2 linked regions of the Yarrowia lipolytica genome follow. The protein of the gene in region 1 interacts with the protein of each later gene in a pairwise test. Links are inferred from orthologs where the notes say so. Each region holds a gene or a part of one and is shown in the gene's direction. Other genes may lie near its edges. The genes, in order: YALI1_E38056g and YALI1_E28170g.

What was found.
Region 2: the proteins of YALI1_E38056g (region 1) and YALI1_E28170g interact in binary tests that used the Saccharomyces cerevisiae proteins (3 or more experiments, as listed by UniProt). The link is inferred for Yarrowia lipolytica from reciprocal best matches to the Saccharomyces cerevisiae genes SPT7 and SPT8.

What each region holds. Positions count from the first base shown.
Region 1 is NC_090774.1:3,797,123-3,813,892, forward strand, and holds YALI1_E38056g (uncharacterized protein), read left to right. Parts: upstream 1-8,452; coding exon 8,453-9,358; intron 9,359-9,407; coding exon 9,408-11,774; downstream 11,775-16,770. Other genes in the region: YALI1_E37982g (uncharacterized protein), read right to left, coding at 1-1,056; YALI1_E38020g (uncharacterized protein), read right to left, coding at 2,581-4,923; YALI1_E38034g (uncharacterized protein), read left to right, coding at 6,256-6,912; YALI1_E38050g (uncharacterized protein), read right to left, coding at 7,146-7,928; YALI1_E38107g (uncharacterized protein), read right to left, coding at 11,967-13,643; YALI1_E38113g (mitochondrial 54S ribosomal protein mL38), read left to right, coding at 14,237-15,301; YALI1_E38131g (uncharacterized protein), read right to left, coding at 15,688-15,960; YALI1_E38136g (uncharacterized protein), read left to right, coding at 16,481-16,770. UniProt on the Saccharomyces cerevisiae protein: Component of the transcription coactivator SAGA complex. SAGA acts as a general cofactor required for essentially all RNA polymerase II transcription. At the promoters, SAGA is required for transcription pre-initiation complex (PIC) recruitment.
Region 2 is NC_090774.1:2,809,408-2,824,558, forward strand, and holds YALI1_E28170g (uncharacterized protein), read left to right. Parts: upstream 1-7,588; coding exon 7,589-9,328; downstream 9,329-15,151. Other genes in the region: YALI1_E28097g (uncharacterized protein), read right to left, coding at 1-350; YALI1_E28107g (uncharacterized protein), read left to right, coding at 1,289-1,330, 1,598-1,745, 2,130-2,176; YALI1_E28130g (mitochondrial 54S ribosomal protein uL22m), read right to left, coding at 2,781-3,659; YALI1_E28150g (uncharacterized protein), read right to left, coding at 4,670-5,575; YALI1_E28156g (uncharacterized protein), read left to right, coding at 6,232-6,296, 6,351-6,855; YALI1_E28213g (uncharacterized protein), read right to left, coding at 9,572-11,920; YALI1_E28224g (uncharacterized protein), read left to right, coding at 13,001-13,047, 13,309-13,561. UniProt on the Saccharomyces cerevisiae protein: Component of the transcription coactivator SAGA complex. SAGA acts as a general cofactor required for essentially all RNA polymerase II transcription. At the promoters, SAGA is required for transcription pre-initiation complex (PIC) recruitment.

The sequences.
Region 1 (16,770 bases):
TCCGTACCAGTCAAACAGCATTCTGCAGGCAGCATCGATGATTCGAGCATACAGTTTTGCGTCCAGAACCGACTCCCAGAAGGGAGAGGATGACAAGATAGCTCTTCGACCAAAGCAGAGGAACAGCAGCTGTGGAGAAGCTCTCATGAGGGAGTTGACAATCTTGGATCTCAGGCCAGGAGGAGACATGGCGGGGGCAACGGCAATGAATAGGTTGACCTTATCGTTGAGAGGAGGTCGGATAGCCAGAGATGCAAATGCCTGGGCTGAACCCTGGGAGAACCCAATGTAAGACAGAGACTTCTGTTTGGTCACAGACAGAATATAGTCAATGGAATCGGGGATATCAAACAGCGCAAAGTCGTCGAGACAGAAATCCCAGAACTCGCGCGACTCGGGGTTGTATTTCATGTGTTTTCGCGAGTACTTGTTGCCTCTGTTGTTTCCGAGCCAGACGTCAAATCCCAGGTCGGCCAGAGCAAAAGCAATCGACTTTTTGGCGTCCGTGTTCACAACCCAGACCTCCGAGTTCATCAGCAGACCATGGTGAAGGTAGACAACGGGTCGGGTGATCAGTTTGGAGGACACACTTCGCTTGGAGCCTCTTTTGGGGGGCGAAGAGTAGACTTCGAGGTTTCCAGCCAGGAAGGCCGGGGGAGGGGCGGGGGTGCTGAGGACTTCGGGGTCGTCGGTGAGCAGAGCAGCAGGGTTCTTGGGCAGGATTCGGTGCACTCCTAGCAGAAATCCATCCTTGGTCTGAACCACATGTTCTTCGGCCTGGTAGCCATGGAAATCGCAGATTTCAACAAAGTCTCGGGCCTTGAGCAGAGCGTTGACGGTTTCGAGCTGCTCGGGAGACTTTCTGAGAGCAACCTCGCCGGTGCTTGGGAAGTAGACCTGCAGAATCTCGACCTTGTCGTGGCACCATTCAATGAAGAAGTTGGGGAGCAGAGCGGTGATGAAGCTCACGAGAAACTCGAGGCAGACGAGGAAGAGCGACACAAACAGCATGGGCCAATGTGACAGCTCGAGACGTCCTAGAACGGGGACGTGCATCTTTTTATAAGTCGGTGGTTTGTTGACAGAGGAGAGGGTGTGATGTGAAGTGAGTGGTTAATCTGAACTCCGATACAGTACGGGTACGTACATATGAGTAGCAATATTAAGCCTTTAATGTCCGCTGGTTCTCTTAGGGCCCGAAATAGGCAAGACCGAGCTTATCGGCGTTAGAATGTGGTGTTAGAGTTGCGATACATTTATCAGTCGAGTTTTACAACAGGAGCGAGGGGCGGGGGTTGGTGTGTGTGTTTTGAGGGGATTTCTGTGCCGATTTGATCGATTTTGTTGCCAACCTAATCTCCAGAGAATTTCACCTACTTTGGCTTACTCATCTCCTCCAAACTTCTTCTACAACCACCCCCCGTCACCCGCTGTCATGCCCGCTGTTTGCACCTCGGCTAAGTCTAAATACGAGCAGGCCTCGCTCTGGAACGTCCATCTTTGCTTCTTCGGGAGTCGTCAACAGTCCATGCGACGCATGATGAGGGCAAGGGAAGGCGATAAAAATGTGACAAGAGCCGAGGATAGTATTGCGGCGGTGATTGAGCCGATAAAACATGGGTTTCATCTCAAGTAACGAGAGTTGTCACTGGCGTGGTGTATTCTATGGTTGGCTCTTTGACATCTCCGGACATTTCCAAATAGGAGTCTCGCACAGCTAATCAGCACTTAACCTCACATGGAAAACAAACAACGGGGCTGAAGCTGTCATCAGTTTTGCTCTACGTCATCAGTCGCTGCAGCTTGAGCACCGATGCGTCTTGGCTGTAGACAGATGACTGCCGGAGGATGGAGGGATCGGAGACATATATCCGGGAAATTGGTCCATATTGTGCACATTATCAGATTGCTGCTTGCATGGTGATCTCCATCAAGTACTACAGTACAAGTACACGTGTGGTTAGGGTGTTGAAGACATGCTTTGAAGGCTCTACCCTTCACATGTCGGAGTGCAGAATAGAAACATTGCGTGCGTGAAATAACAATTGTCGTATTTGTAATAACCTGACGCCGTATAATACTATTTAGCTGGTACAATTGATACTGAATGCTCGCTCAAGGTTCTGAACTGACCTCTTATTCACTACAAGTGTTTGTATCTTCCAAATATCTCTCGTTATAGAGCTCCATACACCCCCTGTTATTTTAGCTACTGCTTGTACACGGAGATATGCGAAAAAAGTCAGATGCAGCAGAATCCAAAGACGACATACAATAGGCTTGTACTGTGAGTCCTATCCGAGTGCATATTCTGCGGTCATGGTGATTGACGGAGTCCGACAGACACGGTCACAGTGATTCGTATTGTGGCACTCGCTCTATGGCACTCGTGACTCGTGATCGCTATACGGTGTGAGGATACGTCCCGAGAAACTACAATGTAGCCCTCTGCCACGAGATCTTTTTCCGAAGTTCAGAACGATTCGTGCTGTTCACTCGCAGTTCTCACAATAATGTCAATATCTATTGGTATGCCTATATAACCCGTCCCTAGTCCCTCACAATGCCCCCATTTCCATCCTACACAACCTGAGGAGTGTCCAGGAAGTCCATCTCATTCAGAGCGTAGTCTAGCAGATAGCTCTCGTCGTACATCTCATCGACCCGGTTAAAGTGTCGCTCCGAGTAAGGAATGAGAGCGTCTGTCATGGTGGAAATCTTGGGCACCTGGCTGAGCTTGTCAACCGAGTGGTTAACCAGAATGCAGTTCATGACCCGCTGAGCCACCACCGACGATCGAGCATTCGTGTTCCAGTCTCGGACTCGCTTGATCAGAAGCTCCAGTTGCTCGACATTGAGTCCAGCAATCACATTGTCGACCTTAGTCAGACCCATGATGGAGTCCTCGTCCTGGCGATCAGCAAGCACGTCTCGGAACAGACAGAAAAGCTTGTAGGGCTGGTTCAGAGTCAGAGCAAGCAGAATAGCATTCTCCCAGTCCTTGGACCGCACGTAGTTTGCCAGCTGCTGCTCCTGCTCCACCTGAAGCTCGGCAGCAGCCTTCTTGGCAGCCTTCTCCTCGTCGGAGATATCCTTCCACACAGTAATGGTTCCCTCTCCGTCTCCAGAGACCATCTGGGCACCGTCATCGGAGCCTCGAACAGCCAGAGACCACACCTTGTCTTCATGGTTGTCCAAAGTGACAGCACATTCTCCAGAGGCATAAGTCCATACCTTGATGAGTCCGTCTCCTCCAGAGGAGACAATCTGGGAGCCCAGAGAAGTCCACACGGTTCGCAGAACCGAGTTGGTATGGCCTTCAAATGTTCGCAGGCACGAAAAGTCGTTCAGAGACCACACCTTGACGGTCTTGTCTCCCGATCCAGTTACAATCTGTTTCTCGTAGGGGTTGAACTTGATAGACCAGACGCCTCGCTTGTGTCCTCGCAGCACTCCCACAGCCTCACCCGAGTTCATGTCCCACACCTTTGCAGTTCTGTCCTGAGAAGCCGTAGCAAACAGTCTATCGTTAGGAGACACGTCCAGAGCATTGATATCCTTCTCGTGGGCCTTTCGGGTGTACTCGGCCTTCGCAGTACCGTCCTTGGCAATGTTCCACTTCTTGATGGTCAGATCTTGCGAGCCGGTAATGAGGAACTGAGGAGGTCGACCCTCAAGAGGAAGTCTAGGAAGAGCAACACCTCCCACAGAACCAGCATGACCGGTGCAGACAGCAAAGCAGGTCAGAGTGGGCACGTGCCAGATTCTAGCCTCGTGATCCTTTCCAGAGGAAGCCAGCCAGGTACCGTCAAACGATCGGTCCACGGCAATGACGTTATCTCTATGTCCAGTCAGAACGTTGGTTTCGATTCCTCCAACGGTCTGGATTCGAATGTCGGGCGCGTTGGTGACCACCGCCAGCTTGGACTCGTCTTCGCCAACATAAGTCATATCGATGATCTGATCATGGAAACCCACAATACGTCGCACCTCCTTTAGGTCGTCGTCCAGCTCCACAAAAGTCTGGTCTGACAGCACAGACACAAGCTTGTCGGTCTTATACAGAATGTCCACCACTCCCACTCGCTCGTTTTCCTTGTTGTGCACTGCAGGCTGGACCTGGGCAGCAATCAGAGCAGAAGTCTGACCGTTCCAGATCTTCACAACTCCCATCTCGCCACCAGTATAGATTCGAAGACCCTCGCCATTCAGGATACCGGCTGTCTCGATACTCTCACCCACGGGGATGGTTCGCACCAGCTTGAACTTGTTGGCGTCCCACACGTTGACGATCTTGTCTCGGCCTCCAGACACAAGAATGCCACCGTCGGAGCTCCAGGACAGACCTCGAATGACCGAGTTATGCGAATCCAGCACCTTGAGACACTTTCGGCTCACGAGATCCCAAACTCGGATCTTGCAGTCGTCCGCTCCGGACGCCAGGCGCCACACTGAGCCGCCCTGTTCGCCGAAAAACTTCAATGCAGAAACCACTCCTCCATGGCCCTTGAGATTGTGAGTCACAAATCCCCGCTCCAGATCCCACACCTTGACGGTTCCCTCGGCTCCTCCGGTCGCCACCAGACTCGATGAGCTGTCGATAGCCATGACAATCACTGGGGCGTCATGGGCCCGGGCTGATCGAACCAGTTCTCCACTGGGGATTCGGTATGTGCGCATTGTCAGAGATCGGGAGCATGTGACGAGGTATTGGGCATCGGGACTTATTTCCAGAGTCGTCAGAATCTCACTATCGCCCTCGATTCGGCAGATTTCCTCTCCAGTTTTGATGTTGGTCACCACCACGTCCTCTCCAAAAGAGGTGGCCAGGGTGTACCCGTCGTCGGCGAGAGAGGTCTTGCCACCGGTGTAGAAAGGCTCCACGGATACGGCTTCGAACGCAGTCTTTTCCGTCGTTTCCATCTTGTCTTTTGGTAGTATAGCAGATGTGTTTCGTGCAGTTGGATTTCAGCACACCAATTTTTTCCAATCTTGCATGTTGCAAACGTTAATTAATTTTTCCAGAACCATGTATGTAAGAGGAGGAAGTACGAGTAGCCTCTCTTAGTGGCATTGATCTGGAGTCAGACCAAAATGACAGCCTTGGAGCAGTCACTTTGAGCAGTTATTGGATTATTAAGACTCCCAGTTCCAATTTGTGACCATTTTTGATGGTCCTTCCACTTTTTTTTTTTTTTTTTCTGCATATACATTACATATACCATACTTCACCTAAGCTAACTAATACCACCTAAATTACTTACCCTCACCACCCCACCTCAACCCAGATCATAATAGAAACTGAACGATTGATTTACTGATCCAATGGCTCGTGTATTGCCGGCAGTATACCTTTTGTGACTGTATCGTCAAACTCTTGGCTTGCATTCTCCATCTACTGTATTTGTACTTATACAAGTATCACTTTTCCTTGTATTCAGTGCATATGCCCCCTATTTGGCTGTCATACGAGCTACAAAACACACATTCCCCCATTTATTACGAGTACAAGTACAAGTACGATACGAAGACACAACTATCACATAGAACGCCGTCTACAAATACGCCATTCAAGATAACTCCAGATCTTGTCGGTCACGTGGTCACGATCCGTCCTCATGTACAGTATGTACGATACCGCCAGTACTTGGCACACTGTTTGCAAATCTTCCTGCTACCCACCCGAGAGCTTCTTCAGAACACGTCACGTGACACGGAGTTTCCAACCTCCCCCCCACCCGCCGAGCCGTTGCACTGTATTACGCAAATCTCCCACACTGCACGCACAATATCGTGCAGTAACGTTCGACACGAAAGAAACAGGCATGTATGATTTTTCAAACGAGGAATACGAAGGTGGAACTTTAAGCGAAACGCCGGTGTGAAAAAACATGCGCTAACTATGAAGGCAATGGAGACAACTGGGAGAGACCAGACAAGGGGTTAAGACGTGTTTTTCTTTTGGAAGTGGAGTGAATGGAGTTGGTCACGTGTACACACACACACACACACACATACACAATCCACACAACCCAAGTCTGAATTCGTGGTGGGATCGAGTTGCAACAAAAGGTGGTGCGGATGCACGGACGGTCACCTCCACACGCCATGTCATGTCATCCCATCTCGCTCAGGTCGTATGTCTAAGGTTCTTCATGCAAGTGATTTGGGCAAAGCCTATTGTGTTTGTATATATAGACGCGACTGGGGGGCACGCATTACAACTAGCTATCACCGACAGTACGAACCGCCACAATGAAATTCGTCGGTCTGATTTCCCTGCTGCTGGTGGGTCTGTACATGGTCACCAACTGGCTCTTTATCAACGTGCTCCCACACAGATACATCTTCGACAAGGATGAGCTCATGACCATGGTCAACCAGACTCTGGAGCGAAACCCCGACGGAAACTCGACCGCCATTCTGACCGATCTGGGCGCCTCTCTGCACGACCGATATGGCAAGTTCATCAACGAGCTCAACTTTGACGAGTGGGTCTTCAACAACGCCGGAGGAGCCATGGGATCCATGTTTGTGCTCCATGCCTCTGTCACCGAGTACCTCATCTTCTTTGGCACTGCTGTCGGCACCGAGGGCCACACCGGAGTGCATTACGCCGATGACCACTTCATGATGCTCACCAAGTACCAGATGGCCCACACTGCCGGCGAGCTGGAGCCTGAGGTGTACTACCCCGGCTCTTCTCACCACCTCAAGCGAGGTGTTGCTAAGCAGTACCACATGCCCGGCGGTGCCTGGGCTCTTGAGCTTGCTCAGGGATGGATCCCCGCCATGCTTCCCTTCGGCTTCCTCGACACTCTGTCCTCTACCATGGACATCGAGACTCTGTGGAAGACCGTCAAGATCTCGGCCGTTAACATGGTTCGAAACGCTCTTTGGGGTAAGATCTAAGGAGGGCATCGAGACAAAAGGACAACCACAAGAGCGGGTAAAAGCATGGAATGTTGGAATGTTCAAACAAAAGAACTACCTTCTATGGCCCGTTCCATCAACAGTCCATAGATACGTACATAAGTTATAGTTAATTATTCTTACAGTTTTTCAGTGATGAGTGGATAGGTGCGGTTCGTTAGTATGACGTACTTGTACTCGTAGTCAAGCATGAGTGAGTAGTCCATAGGCTGTCAGTCATCTTCGTAGCTCCCCTCTAACACCTGAGCCCGAGCAAAACCCCTGGAGATCATACTCTTTACATCATCATGCAAAGTAACATGATCTGCCATGTCAAACAGATGTCGGTAATACTGCTGAGACAAGGGAAGATGGTACGAGACCAACGGACCAGGAAGCTTCAGATGATCAAACGGATCAGAAGAAGTGCAGGGCATAGAGGCATCTTCGAAGCGAGCAGAATTGTGGGGAGGCGGTTTGAACAGCAGAATCGAAACCAATCTTCTTCCAAACGACCTTTTCGCTCGCAAGTTGCGTGAATGGGTCGCAATCAGCCCGTTTATCGTTTCAATGTGGGATGCAAGATGCTCCATAAGTAGCTCCTTTTCATATGTAGGTCTCAGCACCTTAGTGGTATATTCACTCTGGAAATCCCGGTATCCACCCATGACGATCAGACCCTTGGTGACCTGTCTGATGAACGGCTCTTCATGTTCGAAATGCGTGTACATGGATCTTCTGTTTGTGTGTGAGTAGCTGGAGGGTCGTTCCGAATGATCCATGGGGGAATGCCGTTTGAAGCTAGCTCTCCGGGCAGAAACAGGAGCTCTGGATGAAGTCATGGGGTCGAGGATTGATTGGTAGTCTCTGTAGTTATCGGTAGGTCCAGGAACGTGTCTTGTACCAGTGAAAATATCAAGATCACTGCTTATAGCAATGTCCAAGTCTGGGGATCTGCGAATAGTCGAAGAATTGTTTGATTGCTGAGAAACGTTGAATTGTCGATTGTGGGCCATTGCCGGATTAATAAAGACGCTGCTCACCAAGAGTCGTCACACCTCCTTATATATATCAAGCTGACACTCATATTGTACTTGCCTTGTCCGTGTATTGGGAAGGTCACATTATGTCTGCGGAATTGTCTTCGGTGCCTGACTCGTAATTAAGTGAAAGACACCAATGAGTAATAACTGTACAGTACAATTACGACGGACGAGCACACACAATCGTTCATATCATTGTTTCATGTCAGCTACACTTCTCCTCAGTAGCTCTTACAACTTACGAGTTAGTGTCGTTTCCCCCAAACTAACTCATAATCTGTCGTCATCCCCTCCGACGCCAAATACCCTCCCAACAGCATACTAACTTCTTGCCCTCACGTCCATCACCCAGATCCATCTCTCCCCTCCGGTGCGCGAGTTTAAGGTTGGCACTCCACTTATACTGCATCTCCAACACCACATCTCACCATCACATTCTCCGATTGGGAAAAAAGCCGATCAGCACCGTCTCGGCCTTTTAGACATTGAACGACAACATGACGTCGCTGAACGTGTGGGCCTCCGGGCGATCACGTGATCTGCTTGCCGTCGCCCGCGAAATTGAAGCCAAGGATCTCTGGCGCGGCTTTCTCACCATCCAGGAACACCAGGTCGTGCAAAAAGTGCTGGAGAACGACGCCATGTGGGACAACCTGGTCGAGGGCAAACTGTCGATATTTGTCGACAATCCGTTGCCGGATCCCCCGCTGGGATTCAGGCAGGAACAGGAAAACGCCGCCAACAACAATCTGGATGGAGCACGTCCCGAAACCCCGACTCCAAGTACACCCGTGGTGAGCACATCGTCCTCCTCAACGCATCTGCATCTGAAGCATCTGCAGATGAATCAGCCGTCGCCGACTCCGTCGAATGAAGGCTTTCAGAAGACCGTGTCGCTGGACTGTGTCGCGTTGGCCTTCAAGGTGCGGCACATGATTTTCGACAAGTCTGTGCCGCTGCTATACCCCAACATCAAGGGAGGGGACCTGGAGGTGGACATTGAAGACATCCTGGCAGAACGCAAAAAGGAAGAGACTCCTGCCCAGATCAAGGCTGCTCCTGTACGAGAGGAGGAAGATGACTACGATTTTGATGACGAAGATGAGGGTCCCAAAACAGACGGAAACAACAACAAGGACCAGCATACGGACGGTAGCAGTGTAGCACTAGTGGACTCGGTATCGGTCGAAGACCGACCAGCGACCTCCGACGATATCCAAAAACGAGACTCGGCTCTGTTGGCCCGGATATGGCAACGGTACCATCTGTTTGAAAATGACAGCGAGGCCATGGACTCGTATCTGGCCGAGGAGGGAAGCCAGGAGTCGGAGAACACAGGGGAAACAAACACACAGGAGGAGCCGACCAAGGCGAATTTTGGAGCCGCAAATCTGTCTCTAAAGGTGAGCATCTTCATTACTAACGACCTTCCTATTATTTATACTAACACAGAACCTCTTGGCCACAATTGAGTCCAAGCGAGACAAGTTGTCTCTCACAGACACCCAGCTGCGTAAGCTGATTCTGGACGTGCGCAAAAACCGATCCAAGTGGGCCAACGAAGAACGTGTAGGCCAGGAGGATCTTTATGAAGCTGCAGAGAAGGTGGTTCTCGAGCTACGAGGCTACACAGAGCACTCAACTGCATTTCTCAACAAGGTCAACAAGCGGGACGCGCCCAACTACTTCAGTGTCATCAAGGAGCCCATGGATCTCAACACGGTCATGAAGAAGCTCAAGAACCTCCAATACGACAGCAAGAAGGACTTTGTCAACGACCTAATGCTCATCTGGCAAAACTGCTTGACCTACAACACTAATCCCAAGCACTTTTTGCGAGCCCATGCTATTGCCATGCAGAAGAAGACGTTGACGCTCATTCCTCTCATCCCCGACATCACCATCAAGACACGGGCCGAGGCAGACGCAGAGGAGGCCGCGCAGGCTCAGGAGGCCAAGGAAGAGGAGGAAAAAGAGCAGGGAGGTGCCAAGGCTCGAACAGGAATGTCTATTGGCAAAACTGTTGGGAAGGGCCAGAAAGGAGGAAAAGGCCAGAAGGGAGGCCGAAAGCGGAAGATTGAGGAGGTGGATGAGGATGCTAAAGACGCCGACGACTCTGACATCAAGGTTGAAGATGTGTCTATGGACGTCGATGTTGATGGTAACAACAAGACTTCGGATGATATTAAGCCGGATACCAACAACAACGATATCAAGACCGAGACCAAGGAAGCCACCGAAGAGCCCGAGTCGGCGAACGTGTCTGCCTTGGTCCCCGCTGGCCATACTGGTGCCAAGGAACTGACTGCTTCTGCTGAGAATAATGATTATGGGGTTGGTGGTGATTCCGATGACGATTCGGACAATGATCTCGAGGAGCAGTTCTGGACTGAGTACACTGGCCGCAAACGGACGCTCATTTCCGTGCAGCGGTCGCGGCTGTTTAAGGACAACAAGATACAGGCAGACGCAGACGCTACTGTCATTTCCAAATCAAAGGGGTTCCGTGACTTCCTTTCAGCCGAAGCAGCAGTGCGAGGAGTCGGTCCCCACATGGAGTTTGAGGAATTCCAGGAGGACTTGCTGGAGGAGGCAGCAGAGGTGAATGATAGTACACAGCCCAAGGCTGATGCTCCATTAAACATTCCCCGACGGCCGTTTTTACTTGAGTACGACCCCCAGGCCGGCCTTCCTGAGCTCCCCTGGGCCATTTCATGCGACAACCCCGACGAAGGAATTGACGACACTTGGAGCCATGTTGATATTGAGTGCCTCAAGAACACTCCTTCTCGATACGTTGCCCCTGCGAAGGGTCTAGTCAGCAAGATTGACCACAACTTGAACGAGATGCAAAAGATTCGAAAGATTTGCTCCAAAATTTCTATCATCCGACAAATGCAGCAGCAGTATCTGCATTCGTCGCAGATAAAGGCCTACAATCCGCCTAAGATCACCGATTTTGATGTGGATATCGAGTCTCGTCTTCCTAATAGAGATGAGTACGATAAAGAGGTGTGTGAGGCTTCTCTGAAACGAGCGGCTTCTCGAATTGCTATGCACTCTGGTTTTGAGTCGACCGAGTCGTTTGCCATCAACGCACTCACAGAGATTGCGGGCGACTTTCTATCCAACCTGGGACGTTCAATGGTGGCCTACACTCAGCATTTCAAGAACACAAACACCAGCAAGGAGACGATTCTGAAGGAGACTCTGGAGGAATCGGGCGCGGGGTCTATCGAGGGGCTGTCTGCGTACATCCGAGATGACGTTGAGCGTCACGGCCATAAGTTGGTGGATCTCAAGAACAACCTGGGGTCTTTCTTGGGCGATCTGCTGCGACCTGGAGGTGGTCAGGGAGAGATGACAGACCAGCAGTTCAAGGACAACTCCGAGCAATTTGTTAATGGAGACTTTTCCGAGGCGATTGGCGACGATTTCTTTGGTTTCAAGGAACTCGGTCTCGATAAGGAGCTCGGTCTTCTTACTTCCACCGTTCCTCTGCATCTTCTGCAGGGCAGACTCAACGGAGCTTTCAATAGAGACAATGTGGAAAGTGTGGGTACTGTGGAGGAGCTGGAGGCCCCCGAATACGATCCTATTGACCGAGAATCTGCTGACTCTCAGATTGGTCTGATTCGCCCCTTCCTTCATGGCAAGCTTGAAGTTGCCGACGTCATTCCTGAGGGCGAACAGGTGCCTGTCAAGCAGCGAAATGTGCGATCCAAGCTGCCGCCTAGTGGAAAGATCCCTGGTCCCAAGAAGCGGCCCGCCAGCAAAATGTTCTGGCGAAAGCCCAGTGATAACGAAGTGTTTGCCTAGGAAGCAAACATGTATAATTGTCTGGCGTATGTAATATGTCAGCGTGTAAATTATGTATTGATAGATTATTGTGATAGGAGTAAGGAGTAGGAGCGTAGCGCGTGTTTTAAATGTGGTATAAACGAGGACTCTGCTATAGCCGGCCAATTGTATTTCTTATCATGCATGAATTAGTATATGAGTATTTGAACTCTAGTCGCTCAGACCATAGTCTTCGTAATCGTCATCGTCATCTTCTTTATCTGCGAGATCCTTCATGGCAGACTTGACGCCCTCAAAGTCGGCAACCTCGAAACCCTCAATCTTGAACTCGCCATCCTCAAAGTACATGGTGACAATCAGATCTTCATCTTCGTCCTCCTCGGCCTTATCTGGCATCTGTTTAGATTCTGCCTCAGCTGTGGAGAGTGTTTGAGTCCGGAAGAAGGTCTGTGTTGAAGTGACAGTGTCAGTTCCATCATCTTCAGCTGAGTCCACAGCTTTTTCCTCCACCGAGGCCTCCACTTGCTTTTTGGCCTCTTCCCTCTTAGTCGAGGCAGCTTCCTTCTTCTTGGCCAGCTTCTTGGACTGCTTGGCCTCCTTGTTAAGCTGCTTCATAACTTCATCAGTAGCTCTGGCAAGGACATCCTCGATCCCAGCGTCATCTAACATAGTAAGACCCTGGATCTCCAGGTTTGACATGTCGCCCTGTTCCTGCCACCATGCATACTTCTCTTCGAGAGTCACATCATCATCGTTAATGCTGAGCAGCAGCTGCTGACGAGTGATCATGAGACGCACCTCAAAGTGGCGGTTGATGGGAGCAGGAACAAACATGGATCTGGTCTGGATGATGAAAGGAGCATCATGAGAAGGAGTGGCAATGCCAAGCTCCTTGAACAGTGTCTGTCTATTGACGCAGTCGCCGAGCCAGACTCCAATGTAGTTGAGAGCTCGAGCTTTGGTGAATCTCCATGCAACCTCAATCTCGTCAATCTTGTCCTTGTTGACATTGGATCCGACAAACTGGTGGGCACGAGCCGAGACAGCCTCCTGCTCCTCCTTCACGTGAGCAACGCCGTCAAACATGCCGTCAATGGTCTCAAACTCGGGGGCCTCAGACTCGACGCTGTAGCACATGATGGGCAAAGACTCATCTGGAGGAGGCTGAAACCTCATGTCTTTACAGAGGCGCGGGGTGCCGACCTGCATGACGTAGTTGCACGTTCGCTTCTCCTTGATCCACAGTATATGGTCATGCTGGACGTTTTTGTCACATACAAACTGAACCTCGATTTCTCGGTTGGCGCCGGTCAGAGGACAATGGGTTCCCGAACGGAGTCTATGGGCCAGAAAGGGGATTCCTCCGGCACTGGTGACCGTGTTGGTCGTATCGTCCTTCTCGAAGCTACCGAGCACGAACGTGGGCGAATCGTCTGCCTGAGGAGGAGGATAGATTCGAGGGAAGTAATTGTCTCCATGTCTTCGATACTGAACGACTCCCGAGCCGTAACAGAAACGATACGAGAAGAATCCCTGTTCGTAGAAGAGACAGTCACCCAGAAGAGGCAACATGAGCTCCAAAGCTCTGTCTCGGGCCTCTGTTGGCGACAGTTCTCCCTCCTCTCGTGATTTTGAGCTCTTCGTGGTCGTGACTTCCGGAATACCGCAGATGTGGTTTGTGCCGTTGAATTGCATCATCTCGTACCCCAGGGGATGGCCATATACCGGATCTCGATGCGGTAGCAGGCCGTTCTGGACATCTGCTTGTCGCAATGGTCGGTTGTGGAACTGTACTGTGAATTGTGGGTCGGCAAAGAGATCGTCTCCTATGTTGAAGGTTGCTGCGAGCGACGAGCTTGCTATCAATGCCAGGGACTTTAACAACATGGCATGTGGCGAACTTGTGAGCTGGTGGTGGTGATTTCAATGTTAGTTACAGCTGTACTTGAACAGCACACGTCATGTCAGTTCAGCATGAATTAAGCGCAGTGGGAGATGCTGTTAGGCATTCAATAAGTGTCATAGGAGAATTTTTAATAAATATAATAAAATCACAGTAAATCGTTAGTCTGAACGAATTATTATATTTATATTTTCGTTTTTTACTCTTAAATCACTATTACAGCAATAAGCCGCCTCGTACACTCACCCCATCTCCATTACTGTATGTACGCTCATGTACCGAAATTGAGTTCATTCTAAGTATATGATTGGCTTAGTAAGCTTAACATGTTCAAGAAAAAATATGGAAGGTACAAGTACTTATATAGAGAAAACTACTTGGCCAAGGACACACTTTTGAATAATGACACAGAAAAAATCTATTGCTTTGAAACGACCTCAGCTGATCTGTCATTATTAGTACTTATAGCACCACCTGAATCACTGTCACTCCATCCCTACACTCTCTCCTCCCAATGTGCATGTTTTAACTCTGAAAAATTCCACAGGTCAATATCACATCTTCACACACAGCAGCCATGATTAGATCGACTGTTCGGCTGGCGCCACGAGGAGCAAGATTTATCACCAACAACAGTGGCTCTGCCGAGACTCTGCGGGTGGCCGACGAGAAGCTGGCCCAGATTCTCACCGGCGGCTCCACGTCCGGAGCACACACCTCCATCAAGGATCTGAACAAGCGAGCTCTGTACAAGAGTCCCCCTGGTCTGGATGCAATCTTCCCCGCTGCTCTGAAGATTGTCGAGGAGAAGAGCGCTGCCATCAAGAAGCAGGCCGAGGAGATTGCTAAGGAGTTCGAGGCTTCTGGAGACAAGGCTCTCAAGGACCAGTACATCAAGCTCATGGGCAAGGCCGAGGTCCACAACCCCCAGGTGATGATGAACCACGTGAACGGCAATGTCGATATGAATCACCCCGTCTACCGACATCTTGCCGAGGCCGACTACAAGAAGTACGAGCAGATTCTGCTGGTCGAGAGTCTAGAGACCATGCATGTCATTCCCGACACCATGCCCGTGATTGACGCCAAGGCTCGAGTTCGAGTCAACTTCCCCGGCAACGAGAAGGGCAAGTGGATCACTCCCGGAACACTGCAATCCACCGAGCTCACCTCCGAGCTGCCCATCGTCGAGATCCAGGAATTCGAGGACATCCCCAAGGACGCCAAGTACACAGTCCTGCTGGTTGATCCCGACTACCCCGTCCCTGAGACCGAGTCCTTTGGTACCAAGGTCCACTGGGCCGTGTCCAACGTGCCCATTTCCGTCGATCAGCCTCTTGTGAAGCCCGAGCTCGGAGACACTCTGGTCAAGTATGTGCCCTCCACCCCCGAGAAGAACTCTGGAGACCACCGAATGTCTCTGTGGGTGTTCCGACAGGACGGTGACGTCAAGGACTCTCTTTCGCATTCCGACTTCTTCGACATCCGGGGCTTTGCCGACAAGCATAAGCTGACCTCTGTGGGCGCTTTCTTCTGGCGAAACCGGTTCGACATGTTTGCCGAGAGCCTGCGGGAGAAGTTTGGCCTTGGAAGCGGCCGAGTGTTTGGAATGTCCAGAACTGGCGAGGACGTTCCCCGATAAGTGTATATAGTCAGAATCAGAACAAGCACCTCGTGCTTGTATTCGTAATGTGAAGAGTTACATCAACATGTCTATATTGTAAGATAACCATGGAAAGATCAGATCTAAAGGGTGGCTTAAATCAATTGAACATGGAGAACTTTTTTCGTATCTGGTATTCAAGGCTCCATCTACCATTTGTACTTGTAGTACGTCATACTGTGTCCAACTACACTCAACTACAACCCACATTCAAGTCACATACATAAATCAAATTGAAGGGAGCTGCGCAAGGCGTGCCACCAAAGAGGGAAAAGAACCGCTGGTAAGCCACTTCGCCTCATAACCTGTCCAAATGGTCAATTAATTACATGCTCGTCGAGCTTTTCGATGCATAAATAATACGCTTAGGCCTTCTCGGGGAAAGCGTGGTTGAGGTAGGCTTCAATGTCGAACTTGTCGTCAGAGATATCGGTAACAACACCGGTGGAGGCGACGGGGGCGGGGTGGAGTCGGGCCCACTCGGCCTTGGCCTGCTCAATGAGCTTCTCCTGCTTCTTGAACTTGGCATCAGCCACCTTCTTCTCAGCCTGGGAGTAGAGGGTTCGGTTGTGAACGAAGCCGTAGACGACACCGGCACCGAGGGCGGACCATCGCAGAACGTTGAGAGTGGCAGACATCTTTTCGGTTGTGTAATGTATGAGGTATTGGACCTTCAGTATGTGTGGTGGTGGTGTGTTCCGACTGCAGAGGTAAAATATGACAATGCGCCGTTGGCCAATGGGAGCACAAATATAAGTAGGGTAACTAACTCTATTGATCCTCGTGTTGTTATCAAACAAGGAGGCTGGTTAAGTAGTTAGTGGGGGAATGGTGACCAAAGATGAACTCCGATGGTGGTTTTGTTGCCAATTCGTTTTTCCAACAATTTCAGAGTTTTTTTTCCTCCCTATATCTGCTTCATGGCCTCCACCCCAGCTGGCCTTCATTAATCTCCTGTGTACATGCGAGGTTCGAACTGACTCCTTCTCTCAAATGCCTCTTTAGTTCACACAGTGTTCAAATCTTTAAGTGCACATTTTTTTTCGGTGACAGCTTTCCACTGAGTGAAAGTCTAATCCAAAATGAACGTGTCCCAACATGCATGCTGTCAATGCTACACAATCGACACTTTGATATCTCGACAGCTCCTATACCAACATGCTTCTAATCGCCCTGCTGCCCTCAATTGTTGCCGCCACATCCATTCTGGCCCGGCCTGCCGACGGATCAGCCGTCGTGACTCTCGGAACCATTGATCTCGACACCCCCTCCTTCACATCCACCTCGGACTTTGCCGGCGAGGCTTGCATCGGCCTGAACGTCGCAGGCGACTTTGTGTGCCACGTTCTGGCGCAGATCGAGGCCGACAAGGGCAAGGAGTTCACAATCGAGGCCAAGGACGGCGTCATCACCAAAATCAACTTCAAAAAGGGCCTTCCTGCCGCCGA
Region 2 (15,151 bases), about 990 kb from region 1:
CCTCTCCCGCTGTCGGCTTTGTGTCCGCCATTCCCATTACTATCGTTTCTGTTGTTGTTGCTAGTGTTGCCTTTTGTGTCGCCATTTGTATCGCCATTTGTGTCGCCATCTGTGTCGCCATTTGTGTCTTGTCTGTGTCCGTTTTCGCCGGCCTTGTTCAGGTCCAGAGCTGCCACGTCATCGGACGCCGTCGAGACCCCGCCGGCCACCCGATCGGCCTGCTCGTGCGGATTGGAGCCTTCTAGCTGGAAGATCATGTGGTGGGTGGTGAGGTGCAAAGTCCCCCGGGAGGACTTGCCTCTGCGGAAAAGCGCCACGTCAGAGACCTTGGAAATCTTGATGTATTCCATAGGCGCGCCGAGAAGAGTTGCTGAGAGAAGTCCGTTGCTGTCGTCCAGTCCTTCTTGTACTGTTTTCGAATGTGTTGGTGCAGTTGACAAAGTTCTTAGACCGGCTTGAGAGATGCGACCGTGGACACTATGCAGCTTAGCTTATCAGCCAGAGTCAAACAGGCACAGAGAGAGACCACACAGTGCAACTAAGACAGGACCGACACGTGCAAGTGTTGGAAAAGAGGAGCATAAAGCAGAAAAAGAGGTCACGTGAGAGTCAATCGGGCCGGGGAGGGGAAGTTGGACCAGCTTCAGACTCTTTTGTGGCGCACAAGGGGACGAGGACCACACTGAACTGACTGTTGCATCTTAGACTCGTAATTACAGTGTGATTGTATATACAATGTACGATATATGAGAAGAGGGAACTCGTTGTGTACGGTGGGTGCCTGTAGGGTAGTTGTTGGTGTCTATGTTTACTAATCAGTTAGAGAATGATTAGATGTTTTCGGGATATATCTACTTGTACAAATCGTCTACTTTTCGGGCTACAAGTTGTGCTCATCTTGAAACTTACCCCACATGTGGACATGTGACTTGGACGTCATGTGATGTTGAGGCGGTAGGGAGTTTGGTAGGTGTTTATTTTATTTATTTGTTTATATTTATATTTTTATTTGTTTTATCTTATTTTACTATTTTTCTTGTTTTTTATTTTTATTGAGGACTTTTCTCTGTCTCCCTGCTCATTAATTCGCTTCGTATTTCCCCATTTATTCCTCCTATTTAACCATTCAATTCCCGTAAATTCACCTGAATTTTTCCTCCCAGCTTACTAAGCAGATCCAGCCCACGGGCCAATCACGACGAGGGTAACTAAAAGCCAAAACCACCACTGTGCATTTGTCGCCCAAAATCCAATATCAGGGAAACGAGACACAAACGGACACTCGACAATGATCAACGCTAACCCCGGCTTCTGGAACGGCCCCTTTCGAGTGAGTATCGCGCAGCGGGTTTCGAGAGCACAAAACGCCGCGGCCTGGCCGTAAACACACCCAGAAATGGCTATGTCAATCGACACAAGGTGACCCCAACACCAAAGAGACGTGGTGGGTGGAACGAATGACCGTATGAATGGAACGACCATATGAATGGAATGAACAGCTGATTCACTCTCGGGTCTTTCGTTTGTGCCACGTCACCGAGATGTCTGCAGACTATGTAGAGACTGACTCCGTCTGAGCCCCACTAACACAACCCAGTACCTTCGATGGTCTGCTCATAACCGACCCCATCTCTTCTTCGCCTTCGCCATTGGAATCGCCGGCCCTGTCGCCGCGCTCACACTGACTCCTCTACGAAGAAAGTACCTTTACCCCGATCACAGCCCCCTTCCCCAATCATATCCTCGTGAGTATTATTAAGAGTTGTTGCGTTGCAATGGACGTCGGTGGTTGACAAAACTGCCAGTCTGTCTGATGGTCTGTGATAGTCTGTGATTGGTCTGTGATGTTTGTGATTGTCTGTGATTTGTCTTGTGATTGTCTGTGGATTGTCTGTGGATTGTCTGTGATTGTCTGTGATTTTCTGTGATTGTTCTGTGATTGGTCTGTCTGGTAACTGGACGAGCTGATCCCAAGCCACCATGACTACCTCAATCAACCGAATCAGACTGCAGTCGACTAGATCAACTGACCAGACTACTGAGCTTCTACGGTCTGAGTCGCAGGCCCTGCGGTCATCGGCTCATACCGTCAGCCTCCACTGCACCCCATTTTTACTATACTAACCGAGTCCCCCAGCGTGCTCGAGAGCAGCTCACTGGCTTCGATGACGAGTAAATAGCATGAATTCATTAGACTTATAAGTTGCACAGACCGAGGGACGGCACTTGGAGGAAGATGGTCGGTACAATTGGACTGTAGCCCAACCTGCCGCAACACTTCATGATGGAGTACCAACGACCACCCGACAAGTTGGAGTCGTTCGGAAGGTGTATCTTGGAACAGTACATATATACTCGTACTTCTAGATGTTAATAGTCAGAACTCCAGATCACACTGTTCCATTCATATAAATGTCCTGACAAGTAGGTGCAAGTGCAGACGTATGACCAACACCTCTTCTCCGAGATTATGTTCGACAGATGATTAGTGTATTCTACTGTCTAAGCACAGCCCTTCGTCATTTACATATCAACTGGTACATACAGTACTCGTTCCTCTGAGCTCTTAGATCATCTTCACCTGTTTCATGGAAGCGATCTCGTCACCTGATATGTTCCAGCTGCTACCCCGTTGCTGCTACTTCTGTTACTCATTCTTCGGTGGCTTACTCGTTAAGAACTAACAACTCGTTTCGCACGCTATTCGCTCATCGGTTACTCATTTTGTTCATTTCGTTCGAGCAACGCGCTATGCTCGTCACTCGCCCTAGCTATATACATTACCATCGGTAGTCAGACTTGAGGTACCCATCTCCCACCTTTCGGGTCTCGTGCTGGAACACGGGCTTCTTGGCCAGGCGCTTGTACTCCTTGTCACGGGCCTCTCGCTGCTGGGTCACGGGGGTTCGCAGAATAGCCCGGATGTGGATGTACTCGGCGTGTTTCATGCCGGCTCGTCCTCGGCCCTTCGGGTCCACGAACCGGAACTTTCGGGGGTCCGAGCCGACCCAGATCTCGTCAATGTACAGAGTCTCGGGGTCAATGTTCATGTCCTTGGCGGCGCTGACTCCTCGCTGGAGCAGCTCAGCAACGGGTCGGCCCATTCGCTTGGCAGAAAACTGGCACTGAGTGATGGCCTCACGCACGTTCATCTTACGCAGCATTCGCAGCAGCAGCTGGGCCTTCTTCCAGGTGCCGTCGATTCGGTACGACTTGCAGTAGACAGAGGGCTCGAACGCCTTGATCTCGTTGGGCGACAGCACCATCTGGTACTCCCGGCCGTCGACAGACACCTTTTTGGTCTTGTCGTAGCCCTTGTGCTGGCTCTGGTAGGCGTCCCACAGCCGCTGCTTGAGGGCGGTGCCGTACTTTGCAATACCCACCTCCGCCTCGCCCTTTTGCTCGGCAATGTACTCCTGCAGCTTGGTGTCGTTTTTGAACGATGGCAGCTTGCCCTTGGTCTCGTCGGCGTTCTGCTCGACCTCCTTGGATCTCTTGTTTGCCGTCGCCTTGTCCAGATCCTGCTTGATGGACTCCTTGTTTTCTGTCATGCTGCCGAACCAGTCGTTGGATCGCGCGGCGGTAGAGTGGAACGGCCGCAGGGCAACCAGCCGGGAGGCCGGCGCCACGCTTTTGCCAAACATCTTCTTCCACAGCATGGTTGTGTGTGCTGTTATACGGTCAGTGAGGGCTCGTATGGTGATGCGTCAACTGGAGATAGATTTTTCAGGGTACGGGTTAACAGAGAGTCAACCTAAACGGGAGAAACTGCAACAACCGTGAGACAAGAGTATACTGTCGGAGCCGAATCGGAGTTAGGAGCGATATAAGTGGTTGTAGGAAGGAATCTTGTCCTCGTTTACACATAAGTCGGTCGAACAACACCAATAATCACCTCATTCTTCAATCCCCATCCTTTCTTCAACCCATGCAGTAGTCTGGAGAGTGGTGTCGGGTCCCGTGGGTTCGATTCCAGGTTGTGTTCATTCTTGTATGCACTTTTAGAATTGTTAATATGTTGATGAAGAGCACGGTTTTTGGTTATCCTGGGGTCTACGTATGTATTAATTCTGTCTTTTGAATATCTCTACTATCATTACTTGTTTCAGTAGACACCTCCTCTCTATATATACTCGGATATATTGACATGATTTAGTATACACAGCCAACAGAGTGGTTATTATTGGTACTGGATTAGTAAGCAATGTAAGATCACGTGAGAAGACACAACCGAAACAGCTGTCTCAGATTCTTCGCTCTTGACACTTGTATCTCTCTCATGGTGTCTGGAAGCCCGCAACCGAGACATATAGCATGGTCTTTTTTAGTTGACTTTTAGTTGAAAGAAGAAGTTGTGATGGGTTTCTGTCTGGTGCTCCAGTTGCTTTCGTAGAGAAAAAAGCGTATAAAACTGTAGAGCAGTGTCACACAGTCTCCGATATATACTATTGACATGATATTTCTGTTACAAACTCGCCCATTCGACACAGTTATGTGATTTCAAGCTGATACTTTACTTGAATGTTTAGTTGACAAGTGTGTCTGGCGTGGGTCCGAATACAACGACTACAGTGCTCTTTGAGATTTGCAGTGTCCACTCTCTCTACCCTCTCATGTCATAATCATTAAATATGTAAATGCAGTGTATCACGATTTTCTATCCTCACGGTCACGCCATGTCTCTCAGTTCCACCTCGCCCGAACGCAACAGTCGATGGCCCTCATCGCTGTCGTCTTCTTCTCCCATCACTTCCACGTCCACGGGCTTCACGTACTTCCTCTTGACCAGAGGACGACATCCCTTGTATTTCACCTGCTGGTAGAGCAGAACGAGATCCCAGAAAAAGCGGAACCAGCATGCCCAAAAGAGACCCGAGGGACGCACGGCCCGCACGACTTTGTTTCGGTTTCTCTCCTTGGTGGGCTTGGCCTTTTTGGCGCCCAGAACGTCGAGAATCCCGAAAAACGCGCCCGCCAGATCCAGCACAATGAGCAAAAACGACGAGCCCACACAGCTCTGCACCGTCCAGTTGCACGACACCTGCGGCACGTAACGGGCGTAGACGCTGAAGTCTCCGATGATTCCAAGCCAGTCCACCACGTCAATGAACTTGATACCCAGATAGCCGACTCCAGGAGGCGAGGGCACCTTTGCAAAGGGATGGGACTTGACCGCCATCAGCAGGAACACAAGCACGCCGAAAAAAAGACCCATAATCACCTTGCATTCCAGAGACCACGACTGCGCATTGGTCTGGGTGTGTCTGTATGAATACCACGCCTGCACAGCACACACGCCCCACACCAATGACTCGTTCAAGTCAATTAGGGCAATCACCCCGGACGCGCTGGGCATATCAAACGCTAACGGGTATCTCTGCACAAACTGCCGATGGACCAGATCGCTGTTGATGTATGTGAGGGTGAAGACGAAATGACACACCGCCCCCACGAACGCCCAGAGTCCGTAGTCGAGCGAAAAGCCAGCCACCGACGACCGTTTGTTGTTGAGAACGGCCTGCGGATACGGCGTAAGCAGCCGCAACGCCTGGTGCAAATATATCCATCCCGTCATAGCTGGGTCGATATGCCGTAATTATATATGAGATGAGGTATATATTGAGACCGCGTATGCATGCTTGGTGCAGTATGCATAAACCTTAATATGATACATTATATAGCGGGGTGAGTTGGATATTGAGGTTGGCTGATATTGAGGTTTTGTCGATTGGGGAAAGGAGATTGGCGAATTTGGTAGACAGAAGAGATATTGTGATACATGTTCACACACTCTGCGGTTCATCCAGTACTTTGTAAGCGTAATATAGATTCGACTGTAACTTGCCCATTATTCTCACAGGCGACTAAAGAATAAAAGAAATGGATTCCTCAGATACAGAGGATCATTTTGGTACCAGGAACGGGTGGTTTAGATGGCGTTCATGTGCTGTTATGTGTTACTTTGACTTGTTATGTTGATGTTCTACTTAGAGAGAGTGGGAGTGCGGCAAGTGCGTCGCGGCAAGGGGTGTGTTTCCCCTGTTTTTTTTTTCCCCCTCTTTTTTCTTCTTCTTTCTACTCATCGCTTTACCACCCTCCTTTGGCGCATCTAACACTCCAACCATAGTCCTTCGACTCAATCGCCCAATTTGATCTCTTCACTTGTCACCAACCTCTCCTGTGCAGTTGTCATGTGCTCCACCACAACTCCTCTTCCTGGCGACATGACAAATGGGGCTACTCACGATCATCAAGAAACAAAAGCTCAAGGATAAGGAGATCCGTGTGCTCATGCTGTGAGTGAGAGGAAGCGACGTGTCTGGGTGTGAGAGGGAACAGTACTAACACAGTGGTCTGGACAACTCGGGCAAGACGACGATAGTCAAGAAGATTCTCAACGAGGACGTGAACGAGGTGTCTCCGACGCTGGGCTTCAACATCCGCACGGTGACAAGGGGCCAGTACAAGCTCAACATCTGGGACATTGGCGGCCAAAAGACTCTGCGACCTTTCTGGAGAAACTACTTTGAGAAGACGGACTTCATGATCTGGGTGGTAGACGCCAGTGCCACCGACCGACTCCACGATTGCCGCAAAGAGCTGCAAGCGATTCTCAACGAGGACCGACTGGTTGGAGCCGGAGTGCTCATCTGGATCAACAAGCTGGATCTGGTGGACCCAGATCAGCGGGACAAGACCGTTGAACGCATCAGCGGCCATCTGGACCTCGACCAGATCCCCGAGGGCCACAACACCACCATAATGGGCTGCAGTGCGTACACGGGGTACAATTTGGACGCAGGCATGGATCTGGTGGTGAAAGAGGTGTCTGAACGGTTGTTTTTGTTTGATTAGGAACGAGGAGCGAGGAGCGAGGAGCGTCTACAGTCAAGACTGGACTAGGAGAAAGTCGAAAACGTCGAAAAGTTGCATCTAAACGACGAAAAGAGGGTCTTTAAGTCATCAGTGCACGGCAGAAGAACCAAAGTGCTTGAACTGGAGGAGAATGTGGGTTGAATGGAGTGTGTACTACCTACAGTACTTACAATACTTGGTAACTGAGTTGTATACCCAGCTGTCAGGAATATGAAACCAGGTGGTTTTCGAACCCGATAATTTTCATAGATGGATAGAATAGATCTCAAGTACTGAATTATTTGTACGAGTACTGACATTTTGTACTTGTTCTTCTACTCGTACTTACTCAGTTCTTTTTTATTCTTTTTTTATTTTTTATATATATTTTTTATATTAATTTTTACACTCACCTTTCCTTCTCTTTTAACTAATGGTTCTCTAGTTTAGTTGACTAATATTAGATCTTAGTTAAGTGGGTTTCGATACATACTGCCGTTCTCATGCTCGTTTTAAAAGTAGTTCCTTTTTCGTAAGACTGATGAAATTACTGAAGAAATGACAATACTCTCACCTTTGTGTTTGTGTCACTCTCTGTGGCCCCATTGTGAATATAAATGCCCCCTCGTGTCCCCCTCTGTCCCGCTGTGCACTCCCGTTTAACTTTGGCGGTTGCAACATGCGGAGCTAAGTACGATACTTCCAGGACACTGCCAGTTTGCACGACACGCAAATGTCCAAAGACGACTTTCTCGACGACAAGGCGCTGAACCAGCTGGAGGAGGAGGACGAGGAGGAGGACGACCAGCAGCATGAGAACGAGGACGATTTGTTTGAAGACGCGCTGGAAAACAACATGGAGATGGACGACACGGAGGATGTGGTGATGGGCGATGGAGACGAGGAGGCAGAAGACGAAGAGGTCGAGGAAGAGGAGGACGAGGAGGTGGTGACGAGGTCCAAGTCAAACGGCCACATGGCGGCGTCGACGTCGAACGGATCGCACATTGTCTTTGATGACAGTGGCTCCAGCGACATTCCCGAACATGTGCTCAAGTACACCGGCCGCAGAAACATTCCGCTCTGTACCAACACAGACTCGTGCGAGGGCTACGACATTGTGCCATACGTGGCGGCGATCCACAGCTGTCCCGTGCATGCGATAGATCTGTCGTGGGAGCTAAAGTGGATGTTTACCGGTGGCCAGGACGGCTTTGTGCGCAAGTACGATTTTTTTGCGTCCGTCAACGGCAAGCTGCCCCTGACGGTAGCCCAACGGCATCCGTTTGTGGACTGTGTGACCAAGGCTGGCGTTCTGACGTCGTACTGGGAAAACGAACAGCCCGTTTATGAAACAGACATCAAGCCTAAGGATGGGCTCTACGAGCCCAAGCTGTCGTGCGTGTACTCGCTGGCGGCGCATTCGCGGTGTCTGTGGCTGCTTTCGGGTTTGCAGAGTGGAGGAATCACGCTGATGAGCGTACGACACAACGAGGGCCAGATCCAGGCGTACCTCGAGAAACATACGTCTACGGTATCGGTGCTGGTTCTCAACCAGTGGGAGAACAGACTCTTGTCTGGATCGTGGGACAAGACCGTCAACGAGTGGGATTTGGACACGGGCAATGTGGTTCGGACGTTTGACGGCATTTCTGGCCAGGTCAGCACCGTGCAGTATCAGCCAGTCGGAGGCGCAATAGTGTCTCGAAATCTGGGTCTAGAGGGGCTGGATAGTGACAGAACGGCCCGGGGCAAAGAGATTCTCGAGGGAGACGAGGAGGAAGACGACGACAAAAGCATGGGGTCGTTGTTCGGGTCGGACGAGGAGGAGGAGGGCGAGTCCGAGGTGAAAAAGGAGGAGGTGGACGTGGCAGCAGATAAGGAGGCCAGCGAAAGTGTCAAGCCAGGTGATGGTGATGGCAGCGAAGAGCCGACCCGCAACACTACCTCGGAGTCCATATTTCTCACGTCGGCCATTGATGGAACAGTAGACATTTGGGATAGACGGCAGCAGCAGCGAATCACACGAATTGCGGTGCCTCAAGGCACCCCGCCGTGGTGTATGAGTGCATGCTGGTCGACCGACGGAGACCGCATCTACGTTGGTCGACGAAACAGCACGGTGGAGGAGTTTTCGCTGCGAGGCAATGTGCACGAGCCATCTAAGGTGTTCAAGTTCCCGTCCGTGTCAGGTGCCGTGAGCACCGTGGCTGCCATGCCCAATAACCGACACGTGTTGTGCGGCTCTCACGACAATGTTCGGCTGTACGACGTGCAGAGCTCCAAGCAGCAGGCTGTGCCGTTCTGGATTGTGCCGGGACATCAGGGCGGTATTCTGTCGTCCATCAAGGTCGATCCTAGTTGTCGATACATGGTCACCTCCAGTGGAGACCGAGGCTGGAGTGGAACCACCAGTACAGATGTTGCCTTGGTGTACGAGATTGATCCCATTGTCGGCACCAAGAATCTGTGAGGTGGGTGGAGACTGGGTTGGATAGATGGAGACTGGGTTGGATTGCCCATGACTGATCCTTCAAAAGCCCTTTGTAACAGTATTAATGTATTATATGAATGGTCTTGCACGACCATACGGGTACACACCACACGGGCCTAACCCGAGAAGTACACATCTTGGTAATAATCATAATGTATTGTCGTCATACTATTCCTTTTTCCTCCTTCCTATCACATGCATATATACAGAAAAATGTCGGTGCTATCTGGCCGAGCGGATCGGTTGGTTGTCCGTCTCCGTCTCCGTCTCCGGGTCCCGGTCCAGTCCGACGTGGGATGCGATTTCGTCGTTGGATTCCGTCTGTAGCAGCTCGAGCTCTGCTGTGTCGTCTTTGGCGTATCCGGCGGCCTTGGCCTCCTTTTTGGCCTCCTGGGCGTCGAGGAACTTGTCCACGGCGACGCGCAGCTTTTGGGGCACATTCCAGCCATGCTCGTCGGCTATCGGCAGCAGTAGCGCCACGTGCTCCAGGTACGAGTAGACGTCGTTGTTGTCGACGGCAATGTTCCAGAAGACGCGGGCCTTTTCCAGCCGTCCGGCGCGAATGTGGGCGTCCAGAGGGATGAAAACCACCTTGTTGGTGGGCGTGTTGATGGTCATGGCCAGTCGGAGTGCCTCTTCGGCCAGATCGAACCGCCCGCTGTAACACGACGCCGTCACCAGCGTGTTGAACACCTCGGGGGCAAACATGTTCACCTTGGCCACGTCGACAAAGTCTCTGACAAGCCACAGACATTGCGAAATGTCGCCGGTGCAGCGCAGAACCGACGAGACGAAGGAAGACATGAGCGCAAACCCCATGTCGCTGAGCAGCCACTTCCACCGCGCCGGCATCCGGTCTCCCTTACTCAGCTGAACCGCTACATGGTCTCGGTACTTTTCGTACAGATCGCGCACCAGCTCCACCTGGTCGGCCTGGTCCAGTATTGCGCGGTAAAGGATATGCAACGAGGCCACGTCGGACTTGTAGACGCGGAACCCGGCCTTTCGGGGCTCCAGTTGCGGCAGCTCGCCCAGCGCAACGTCCAGCGGAATGGAGTTGTGGGCGCTGCCCCGCAGAACAAAGGCAAAGATGCCCAGCTCCATGAGCGAATGCGGCGTGTACAGCTGACAGTAGACCGCCAGCGTCTCCTTGAGGTCCTTGCTCTTGGCCACCGCCTCAAAGTAGTCTGTGGCAATCTCGGTGGGGATGTAGCTTTGGGCCGCCACGTCCATGGTGTGGGTGATGGCCTCCTCGTAGTAGCCACGCTCCTTGTAGCCGTGGATCAACAGCCCGTAGCATTGCAGGTCCGGAGCACAGCCCTTTTCCTTCATTGTTTGGAACACGGACACTCCGTCTCGCATGCCTTCAAACTTGACTGCGCGGTAGAGCAGCATGCGGAAGGCGCCCATGCGCGTTTTCTCATCCAGCAACCGGTCGGCAAACTTGGACGAGTTCATGACCTCGATGGACGCCTCGGCATCGCCTCGGTTGCACATTAGATACATGAGCGAGAAGATGCTTTCGTCCTGGTACCACCAGCGTTGCGATTGCTGCAGATGGTAGTCGACGAGGTCCTGGCGTGCCGAGGGCGACACCTTTGACACTTGTAGAGCGAGTTTGGAGAAGGTTCGGCCGTCGCAGGGGTACTGTCTGTCTCTGAGGATCTGCAGAAACACATGGAGCCAGTTTGGAGGCAGTTGGTTTTCGATCCGGCTCGAAAACGGCACGTTTGGAGGCAGACCCGTCTCGTGGTTGTATTTGGAAAAGAGCGAGCACAGGTGCGCCAGCTCCTGGTCCGAGGGCTTGGGCGACGGACACACGTGGTGCGAGGCGTAGCGGAAAAATCGGTCCAGGTTCAGCTGGTAGCCCCATGCGTTGCCAATCGGCAGGTCGTAGACGTACTGGGTCTGGGCGAAAATGCTGTAGAGATCAATCACCAGTTGCGGGTGCGCCTTTGTGTTTCTGAGCGAGCTCACGATGTAGCCCATGAGTGCTGGGGCCAGGGTAGTCTTGCCCAGAATCCGCCAGATCCGCCGCGTCATGAGATACTTGCAGTCCTGGGGAGGCGCCCCAAGCATGTCGCCGTTCATGTCCACGTGCAATGCGCTTTCGATGGCTCCAAACGCCTGGCCCAGCAGCGCGTGATCTGCATTGAGCGAGTCTTCCGTCTGGGGAGCACAGTCCACATACTTGATGGGCATGGCCTTGCGGGCAGCCAAACGCACGCCCAGCGCCATGAGATTCACCATTTTGCGCCGCTGCTGGCCCGCAGAAAGCCCCTCCTGGTTCATAGCGGCACTTTTCAGCCGGTTCACCGTCTCTCGTCCATACCGCACATCGTTGCCAGCCTTGCGAGTCCGCCCTCCATCCAAAAACGACCACTGGCCCTTATACGCCACAAACCGCTTGTGGTCATCCTGCCACAGACTGCTCGGACAGTCGAGATGGTCGTAGAGGCTCAGGGAGCTCCGGGTGTCACCTCCGCTCCATAACGGATCGTCGTCAGGCAGCGGAGGCTTGTACCCCAGCTTCGGAAGGTACGTTGCCCTTCCTTTCTTCACCCTAAGCATGGTCCGTAAAAAGCTCGTGCGAATTCTCCAGCCGTAGGCAAACCGCAGCTGTCGAGGTAGGTTGTCTTTTCCAGCAGATCTCAGCCGGGCCTGAATGATCCCACATATCGCACCAAAGTTTTCACCTCCATTGGGAATCCCTAACCCTGGAGGTATTCTCGGGGGAAAGCGGGGGCCGAAATGAGGGCTATATTGTGGGGGGCCGAGAAGGGGAAAAATACAGTCATTTTTACCACCTACGATTGTGTCGACTCTGAGCAAAAAAATCACGCTTGTTGTTTCTGGGGCGGAAAAAATAATCTGCCCGGTACCAGGGTCGAACTGGTGATCTTCAGATTATGAGACTAACGCTCTAACCAACTGAGCCAACCAGGCGGGATTACAAGTTTAAAGCGGCGTTGGGAGTATAAATCGGGGAAAATGTGATCCAAAACCCGCGACGATTTGGTCAATAACGGGGTGCCATTGGGGGGTAAATGGATATTACGGGGAAGATAAGTGAGCGTAAGATTCATATGAATCAAAATTCTGAACCGTAGAGTGATTTCCGGTGAAGTTGGATTGATTGTCGCACAGGGAGAGGAGCAACGAGGATTAACACAATGTTTGTGTGAAAAAAATGAATGTGCTCAGGTCACGTGGTTATAAAGCGGACGTCACGTGACTATAACGCCCCATTACTACGTGGGTCGATTCTATCTAGAGTCATCAGCCTCATTGATTGTCTTTCTTGAGATTTTCCTATTCCAGATACCGTACAAGTGCCTATTAAAAAGTGCCTGTTGAAAAGTACAAGTACCTGTTTTGTGCATGAGTTATGAAAGACCTGTTTGAGCCTCATGGAATGATGAGAGGCTCATTTGAGTGTTAAATCTCATATTCTTGCGGACTGGAAGTTCCCAAGAACGACGCCAATGAACTTGTACTACCCAAAGGACGTTTCATGGGACGTAATGTGACACAATTTCTTGAAGAAAACCCACCAGAAAGTCCACTAGTTGATTTAGTTGTTTCTCCAGCAAGAAATTGGGGCAATTAGTCGGAATATCTGTCGGCGAAACGCTCTACTTGCGAGATACAATGTCAATTGCCCTGGTCCTCTACAGGGTGCCCGTTTCTACCTCATGGTGAGATATTACCCGATGTGGATACCATTGGGAGACAATGGTGAATCAAAAAGTGCCTGTTTGGGAAACTTCGGGGTCCTCAAACCAATTGAATGACCTGATGAAGCGGTCGCAGAGCCCCATGAACCTCTCAAGTCCGGGATGAGGTTCAGACCCGAGTCTCATTCGGGGTATAAGTAGTTCAGGGGAAGTGCCGAATCATCATCAGTCCAGCAGCAGATTCAGCAGCAGATTTATCAACTCACCATTACCAACTAACAGTTACCAATTCACCATGAAACTCTCTACCATCACCGTCTCTCTCCTTGCCTGTCTGGCAGCGGCTGCTCCTGTCGACTCCCTCAACAAACGAGACAATGAACAAGTGTGCACCGGCGATCGGGAACCCTGGGGATGCACCGAGGTCAACGGGGTTCCAGGCATTTGGCAGTCCTACGGCTCCGGCGACAACATTCGCTGGTACAACATTTACAAGCCCTGGCTTCCTTATGGCGTCCGATGGGCCAACCTGTGAATCTTTTGACCACTAGATATGTTGAACAATTCCATGAGTAAAGTATGAGAACAGTACATACTATAATTTTACTCAGCCCTCGTAGATATGGTGTGCTAGCTGGATACGAGTAGTTGAGAAGAGTAAGTGATCTTTTCGTACCAGGGGTGCAGAATTACTGGATAGACGTGAAGACTGGTCTGACAAGAACTTGTATCATGGCCACCAGAGACGGGTAATGCGCGACAGTAAAGTAAAAGCGTAGTTCATCTCGTTTGTAGAAGATATATGTGCATTCATCAGATCCTCTGGCGGCGGTGATGAGCTTCACCTGATTGACCACGGGGACCATATGGGCCGAAGGGTTGGGATCCAATGGACTTGATCTTGCTAGACTTCAGGAGAATCGCGTACGACCCGTCTCTTGCAAAGGGGTTGATCCGATTCCAATTCTCCTCTACAACCAGGTCTCAGGGAATAATGAAACACAGTTGGAGATGTAGGATAGAGCAGGAACTGTGGATATGTAGGCAGTGTGGAATGAAACACACAACGGAAAGTGGCTCCCAGTTAAGTACCATCTGCTTCCAGGTCTACCAGTCCCCAGGACAATCTCCAAATATTGTAGACGATTGTCTCGCAGACGGTAAATGGGAGCTGCTGCTGGCCAGTGGATGAGTGCATGTTCACGTAGTCGAGTGCTCGAAGGACAGATCCAGCTCTCGGTCGCGGTGTATGAAAAAGATCTTAGTTATGACAGAAGTGTCTTCATTGACACCTTTTCCATGTCTGCTTAGTGCCCAGCCCAATCACGTCCTCGATTCCGGCAATGTACGAGCACCAGCAGTCGCTCAACAGCTGTCAGACCAAGCCTGGATCGTAGCCTCTCCGATCACCCACTTCTGTCGAATTAGCGTGCTCCACCCGATATTACTGTAATATCCTCGGCAATGCCCTCGATGGTATCGTCGGTGGATACGTCTTGGCAGACTATCCAGAACTGGAATGCCGTTTTGGTTAGTCCAGACCCGCCAAGGAGCTATCTCGAACTATGGCATTTATCATAACCTGGGTTTATAGTCCGAAAGCACAGAATTGAGAGGTACTGATAAATGCCCAGTTGCGACAACATCGGCGTCGAAAAGGCGACAACGAGCTCCAGATGATGGGGACCATGAATAACCCAGATGGAAAAGAGACCGTGAACATCTCACCAGCATCAAACCTCCGAAGCGAGTCTCGTAGATGGATTCAACCACTCCTCTCATACATCAACACAAGGAATGATAACGATATGACGCTAATTTCAGTGAGAATGTTTCTTTCTCTGCGCAACAACGCCAAGATCGGTGTTTGGCCCAAGGTCGGTGTTTGATCGGATTTTTTTTCTCTCACACGACTAGGTCTCGTGCGCGACAATAAAATTCAGCTGTCAACGTCAACGTCAACGTCAACAAGGTCACGCTACTGCAATGCACTCGTCAACCAGCAGCTCGCCTTGGCATAGTGTGATGTCGCAGGGAGAGGGGATAGTAGCCCGGTCCGTCTGTGATAGTTTGCCCAGTCCGTGTTCTGACTTAGCCACACGAACCCAGTAGCTGTGCTACCATG